Linked DNA regions of Arabidopsis thaliana. The protein of the gene in region 1 interacts with the protein of each later gene in a biochemical or structural test. Each region holds a gene or a part of one and is shown on either strand. Other genes may lie near its edges.

The links.
Region 2: the proteins of GBF4 (region 1) and GBF2 form a complex in vitro, tested with the Arabidopsis thaliana proteins (one study listed by BioGRID).

What each region holds. Positions count from the first base shown.
Region 1 is NC_003070.9:1,016,279-1,019,962, forward strand, and holds GBF4 (G-box binding factor 4), read left to right. Parts: upstream 1-1,821; 5' UTR 1,822-1,958; coding exon 1,959-2,771; 3' UTR 2,772-2,969; downstream 2,970-3,684. Other genes in the region: AT1G03960 (Calcium-binding EF hand family protein), read left to right, coding at 62-171, 517-673, 780-905, 1,054-1,194; PCS2 (phytochelatin synthase 2), read right to left, coding at 3,033-3,116, 3,326-3,501, 3,628-3,684. UniProt on the Arabidopsis thaliana protein: Binds to the G-box motif (5'-CCACGTGG-3') of the rbcS-1A gene promoter. G-box and G-box-like motifs are cis-acting elements defined in promoters of certain plant genes which are regulated by such diverse stimuli as light-induction or hormone control.
Region 2 is NC_003075.7:482,819-486,745, forward strand, and holds the start of GBF2 (G-box binding factor 2), read right to left. Parts: upstream 1,707-3,927; 5' UTR 1,552-1,706; intron 1,181-1,551; 5' UTR 1,153-1,180; coding exon 1,087-1,152; intron 989-1,086; coding exon 941-988; intron 849-940; coding exon 753-848; intron 681-752; coding exon 600-680; intron 505-599; coding exon 463-504; intron 380-462; coding exon 216-379; intron 134-215; coding exon 85-133; intron 1-84. Other genes in the region: AT4G01130 (GDSL-like Lipase/Acylhydrolase superfamily protein), read left to right, coding at 3,050-3,293, 3,899-3,927. UniProt on the Arabidopsis thaliana protein: Binds to the G-box motif (5'-CCACGTGG-3') of the rbcS-1A gene promoter. G-box and G-box-like motifs are cis-acting elements defined in promoters of certain plant genes which are regulated by such diverse stimuli as light-induction or hormone control.

The DNA.
Region 1 (3,684 bases):
AGTATGATGTGATCCTTTTTATTTGATCTCCATGCGTCTTGTGGCTATGTTTCTCTTTTAGATTCCAAGGAAGTTTACGAGTAAAGTTGAAGGGAAGATGAGTTATGAAGATTTTGTGTACTTCATTCTCGCTGAGGAAGACAAGTCTTCCGAGCCTAGTCTTGAGTATTGGTACACATCTCCCCCTCCGTGTTGATATTGGTTTTCCTTAATGAATGTTGCCCCTTGGTTTAGATCACAAGATCTTGATATATATACTACAACGGAGTCAAAACCAGTGACTTGAGGACTTGTTACTTGTAACAAGTCCTCTTCCTCAGATATATTTAGTAATCATTGTATGGTACCATTTTTTCATGAACATAGGATCCTTGTTTATACTCGGGCACTAACAATCTAACAATCTGATACTAGTTTATAGCCTAGTATGCTCATCTATCTATTATGGATGTCAAAACTCAATATTTTTGCAAGTCCGTGTATTTTACTTGACACTGATTGAAATTTTCCGTGCAGGTTCAAATGCGTAGACTTGGATGGAAATGGGGTAATCACTTCAAACGAAATGCAGTTTTTCTTCGAAGAGCAGCTGCATCGCATGGAATGCATAACCCAGGAAGCTGTTCTTTTCAGTGATATCCTATGTCAAATAATTGACATGATTGGACCCGAGGTTAGTTACTTTACAAACCAGAACATGGTTGTTTGATTTTTCCGAGCTTTTTTGTTATTTATCATTTATTTGACTGGAATCATCTATATGGTGGATGTCCTTGCAGAAGGAGAACTGTATCACCCTCCAGGATCTGAAAGGATCGAAACTTTCAGCAAACGTTTTCAATATACTCTTCAACCTTAATAAGTTCATGGCATTTGAAACACGTGACCCATTTCTCATTCGCCAGGTAAGTTTGGCTTACCAGTGGAGTTTTTATAGCACTCAAGAGGGAAAAAAATAACAAAGAATATGACTTCTTTTAACTGCTAAAGGCAGTTTGTAGTAGTTCGGATTGAGGCAATTAGAACAAGTATAATTCTCTTTCATTGCTGTAGGAACGGGAAGATCCAAATTTGACAGAGTGGGATCGATTTGCTCAGAGAGAGTATGCGAGATTGTCAATGGAGGAAGATGTAGATGAAGTCTCAAATGGGAGTGCAGATGTCTGGGATGAACCACTCGAACCTCCATTTTAGTCCATAGTGGTAAGTTCACACTGCTTGTGTATAGGAAATGCAAATGCTTATAAAATTCTGTGATTTATTGAGTCGAAAGCCGATCTTGACTACAGAAACCAACCAAATAAGGAGACTTATGATTTGAGGTTTTCCCTGGAGAGAGATCCATGATCAGAGATTGGAGGTCACTGTTGGTTGTTACCAGACGCTTTCATCATCATTTCCAAAAGAGTCTCAGCCAAATTCATGAAATTTTTGCAATTTTGTTTTGGTTTCATTATAAAGATTATATCAAGTTGGGCCCTCTCTCCCTCTACATCATCTAGTGTCCATATAACCAGTTGGATTGTCCAACTCAGAATGTACTCATAAATCTGAATTGTTAAACTCTTTTAGTCTTTACTGTCACACGAATATATTTTCAGAAAGAAATCTGAATTGTAAATCTCTTTAGTTGCACTGATATCTTTTTCATAAAAAAAAAAAGAGAAAGAAATCTGAATAGTAAATCTTTTTTCTTAATTAAAAAGAAAAGAAAAAACATCTCCTTATAGTATAGTTGATAGAAGGTGCAAGTCACGCGTTTAATGTGCGCGTGATTAGTTAATTAAACTTGTATATAGAGAGTAAGCGCGTGGTTACATTGCAAAACACTAGAGATAACCCTAGAAAGATCTCTCTCGATCTCTGGTTCGAAGAAAATCCACCATTTCCGATTGTTCTTTCTCTTTGACAAAACCCAGATAGATAAAAATTCGTTCCAATTCCAGTGAGCTCCGGAAATGGCGTCCTTCAAGTTGATGTCTTCTTCCAATTCCGACTTGTCTCGCCGTAATTCTTCTTCTGCTTCATCTTCCCCTTCTATAAGATCATCGCACCATCTCCGACCAAATCCTCACGCCGATCACTCCAGAATCAGTTTCGCTTACGGCGGAGGAGTCAACGATTACACTTTCGCGTCTGATTCAAAGCCCTTCGAGATGGCGATTGATGTTGATCGGAGTATCGGAGATCGGAACAGCGTTAACAACGGAAAGAGTGTTGACGATGTTTGGAAAGAGATTGTATCTGGAGAGCAAAAGACGATCATGATGAAGGAAGAAGAACCAGAAGATATAATGACACTTGAGGATTTCTTAGCGAAAGCAGAAATGGACGAGGGAGCTTCAGATGAAATCGATGTGAAGATTCCAACGGAGAGACTCAACAACGACGGTAGCTATACATTTGATTTTCCGATGCAGCGACACAGTTCGTTCCAGATGGTTGAAGGATCAATGGGTGGAGGAGTAACGAGAGGAAAGAGAGGGAGAGTGATGATGGAGGCAATGGATAAAGCTGCAGCTCAGAGACAGAAGAGGATGATCAAGAACCGTGAATCCGCTGCTAGGTCTCGAGAGAGGAAACAGGCTTATCAGGTTGAGTTAGAGACTTTGGCTGCCAAGTTAGAGGAGGAGAATGAGCAGCTTTTGAAGGAGATTGAAGAGAGCACTAAAGAGAGATACAAGAAGCTCATGGAGGTTCTGATTCCGGTCGATGAGAAACCAAGGCCACCGTCGAGGCCCTTAAGCAGGAGCCATTCCTTGGAATGGTGAAGTGTGGTAAAAAAAACTTTTGTATGTAAAAAAAATAAAAACATATGGGCTTGATTACTATATTATAATCTATATAGTAAAGTGATGGTGATATGGTTAGTACTTAGTTACCTGTAATGTATCTAAGGGATGTAATGGATAATACATAGCTTTTTGCTGATTTATAAGATATCTATGGACCAGACTAGATGGGATAAATTCTTTTTCTCCCTAACAATTTTGTTGGTCGATTCAAATTAGAAAGTGGTTGGTTGTGTTTGATTAGGCAGGAGCAGAGAGTTCTTCGTCTTCTTTATTCTCCTGGCATCGTTTTAGCATCTCAAGTTGGCGTCGTAGATGCAAAACCTGTAACCCACCAAAGGAAAACGATTTAACTTAGCTGACTTTACTACATATTTCTCATCTAATGGATTCTGGAGTTCAGCCTTAAAAAAGAGTCAGCTTCAGAAGGTAATCCTCAGACTATATAACTGAGTTTCATTTCTGTTTCTTATCCTAAGAATTAGAAGATATATAACTCAGACTCCAAGTGAAGAGTTGGCTTAGTTATGTACCTCTTGTTGAAGCAAAGTCGGGTGGCTAACCATGGAAATGAGCTGTTTCATTTCTTGCAAAAGTGACTGGTCTTTGATACCTGACCACGTCTGTGGAGGTAAAGCCAACAGAAGAGCAGTGAACACATCGTTCCCGGATGGGTAAGCTACCACTGTCACTTTCTCCTCACCAAGACCTTGATGTAAAACAAGAAATTCAAAGAAAAAAGTGATTTCTTGATTAGAACTTTGCACACTACTAACTTCAAGCCAAGGTTTCTGAAGCGCTTAGAAAGATAACCAGAATGTAAGAACAAACATACCTTTGATACATTTGACACAAGTTTCCTTACAACAGGATTCATCTGATTCATATCCCG
Region 2 (3,927 bases), on another chromosome or scaffold:
TGGTAATAAAAAAAGAAGAATATGAATAAAGATCGCAAAAGATAAATCTAAACCTAGTTCAGAGCAGAGAGGACGAGTCCATACCCCAGTTGTATTACCATCACTACCATTGCTAGAGCCATCATTCTCGGAGCTAGTTGATATCAAAACCACGTTAGATTCTATATATCTAAGTATCTATTGAATAAGAAAGAGTTGAGGCTAGTTTGACAAACCTCTGAGAACTCCTATGTTCACTGCTGCTATGTTCAGCACTCCCAACTTTGTTATTGCTTATTGACATTGCAAGTCCATCGAACTCTTTCAGCTTTTTCATGAACCCATGATCTGAGTTTCCAGCTGAATTAGCTGGTGCATCAATGGTCAAAGGGGTTGTAACCTGCAAACATTCTCATACATTCATATCCAATATCCATCATACTGCACATTTCACACAGAAACATCACAAGACAATTGACTTACTCCAGATGCTGATTGAGAAACAGGACCTTGTGGTTGTGAGCCCTGGTAAAGTAAAGTAGGAAAACACAAATCAGTAAATCTGGTCTTTTCAACTATTTGTTGATATAAAGTAACCACTAAAAGGAAGGGAGGATTACCATTTGAACACCAGGATGAGCATAAACTCCACCAGGAGGGCAAAATGGTGGATATGGTGCTCCATAAGGAGCCATCATTGGCTACAACAACAAAGAAAGATCAAACTCAATCCAAAGTAACAGATATACATTCAACAAGTTTAATATAAGTACCGATGGAGACGCCCACATATAAGGCGGTGGAGCATGACCAGGCGCCAAATTTGAGTTGTAATATTGAGGTATACCAACTCTAGGCCCATAATATGCCTACAAATATCATGAGAAACAAGCTAAAATCACTCAGGCTAATAAAACACAATTCACACAGCAGAAACAAAACAAGGTCAAAGAAAAATCACCTGCATAGCAGCCCAGTCATGATGATACACATGAACATTACTCTGCTCCTGTATATATACAAAGTAAAACAACAACAACAATCAAACTTTGACTAAACACAAATCTGTTACTAAACCAATCAGTTTCCATTGATTCCATTACTTACAGGAGCAGCAGCTTGCGATGGCTTATCAGAGTTGTTAGTGGGGTTTCCTTCTTCGTTGCTACCCATTGCTCAATGCAGAGTAATGACACAGTAACTTTATAAACAAAAAAATGATCAGATCTTTTAGCAGTTCCTCTGTAAAGCATAAATCTAAAAGAACAGTATTCAATTACACCTAGATCTCGCAATTGTGGACATCAAACTATAAATATAACAGAGATCCGAGTAACTATAAAGTATAGCACCACTGAATCTACCAGTAAAAGATTCAAAGTCGAGTTTTTTCCTCTGTCAAAAGTTCAAAACTATCACCAACTAGTAGAGTTACACAATTCAATCTACCTTTAACTTTCCTAGTAATTTTCTTCACTCAATACACACTTTCTCGAGAAAACAGAGCGTTCATATATAATCACTCAGATATTCATTGAAGAAAATAACGAAAACCAAAATCCAAAAACGTACCTTGAGTCTCAGGGAAAACAATTCGAATTGAACCCACAAAAGAAAAAAAAACAAATTCGCTTCTCTCTCTTAGTCGGAGAGAATGGTTTCTCTCTCTAGAACCAGAGTTCGGTAAAAGAAGAGAGAGGAAGGAGAAGAGAAGAAAAAGAAGAGAGACACAACGGAGCGCCAAGAGGCTGATGAACACGTCACCGTACACGTGTCATGATCTTGAAGGGTTTGCAAAGGGAACGCATATGCTGAGCTGGCAACCCTAGATCTGCGCTGGACATTTTAAATATCTGACTTAAATAATGATTGGTACACGTAGTCATAATCGCCACCGTTCATCTTGAGATCTCTACGTAGACTTGACGTGCTGCTGATTTTATTCCTTTTAAATAATGAAAATACAGAATTAAACTATAATGTATAATTCATTTGAGATCCACAGATGACGAAACGTGGACTACCAAATCAAGCATATTTGTTTTTACCATTTAATCGACGGCTAATATTGATTTCATCTACGGTAAAATATATCTTTTTTTAACCAGAAAAAGGTTAGAGTGGTCCCCACTGTAGGATCTACTGACTTGTGTCGGCCGTTAGTGGTTTTATAAAGCTGACGTGTCCCACTGAATAAGGAATACCGTTGTGGTCCCTACGGACAACGTGGGATTCGACGCCAGCTCATTTTTTAATTTTTTCTTGAAATCTTTTTTAAAATTTTAGACGATGACTCAATCTTCGCCACGTAGGATCCACCCAATAAAAAAGGGTTAACAAAATCTTATCTTTAATGCTAAATTAGTTGAGATTAATCCATGTTGTTTAAATCCGAAATGATGCATATAATCTTGTTTCTTATAATCATTAAGATTTAGACTGAAGATCTAATTCCAATTTAAGAGAGTCACTAAAAAAAGAATGAATTCAATTTCAGACAAATCCGACAAGGTCAAGGTGACGTGTTCTTGATGCCAATTCTAGTGGGAGCCACTTGACGCGTGCAGTTAGACTCCCGGTCCAAGACATAAATTTACGTTAATACCCTCCTTTATTGGGTTATTATTGGGCCGTAGTTGAATTATTAGACCCAACCTTTTTATCCTGTTCTTGATTGGCACATACTTTGCAAAAAGTTAACAAAATAACTTTTATTGCAAGGCATTACAAGAGAAATGTCAAATTTGGTTGTTGCATACATGACATCTTATTCATATCCAATCCATAAATTGATGTGTTGTTATTCAAACTGGTCTTTTGATGTATTGTTAGACATATCTCATATATATTGAACCCTTGGAATCAATATAATAGATTGGGCTTTATTTATCTTTTATTGGGCTTAAAGGGAATTGTTGGACTAAAAAAACCATTAAGGCTATAACACACTAATTACACGTACAATGAGAGTGAGAGTCACGGACGGGATGATTACAAGAATCATATAGCACCAAATATCTCATCCTCACTCTCACATACAAACACACATTTTGTTCACACAGAGATAGACATGGCTTCCGATATAAACAGAAGAAGATCGTTCTCTCTTCTAGTCTTGATTATTGTGATGCTTTATGGGCATAAAGGTGATTCAAAATGTGATTTCGAAGCAATTTTCAACTTCGGAGACTCGAATTCGGACACTGGCGGATTTTGGGCTGCTTTTCCTGCCCAATCTGGTCCATGGGGAATGACTTATTTCAAGAAACCAGCCGGTCGTGCTTCAGACGGTCGTCTTATCATTGATTTTCTAGGTAACAAATGACTAACAAATACTCTCAAAATTTTCAAAAAACGTATAATATGACAGCAGTATCAAATCCCCTCTACAAAGTATAATTTTTTGTATCCTTTAGTATTAAAATATTTTTTAAAAATATTTAAGATATACTTAGTAGTTCGAGCGTTCAGTTATCCATTCAGTTTCAGTTCGTATCTGTTTGGGTCTAATGTTTAATATCTATTCGCTTATTTTGAAATTTGGGTTTGGTTCCGGTTCTTTCGGTTTAAATATTTAGTATCCATTCGGTTATTTTGCTTTGAATATTTTCGGATATTTCGGTTCTTTTTGATTTTTTTTGGATATTTTCAAGTATTTTTACTATTTAGTCAAAAAATAACTAATATTTTTGAAAAGATAATTATATTTCGGATATTTTCGGTTACTCAAAATATTTTGGTTCGGTACCGACTCGGTTTTCATTTCTTCGGATTTGGTTCTGTACGTTCGGTTCAATTTATTTTTCCAGGTCTAATAATTAGGATTTTAGATTGAAATTTTAAACAAAATCTATAATACTTACTGTTATTACCCAAAAATTATCACTATAGTGCTAAACGTAGTGTTAAATTATTTTAGCCAAATCTCTTGGAATGCCTTTCCTAAGC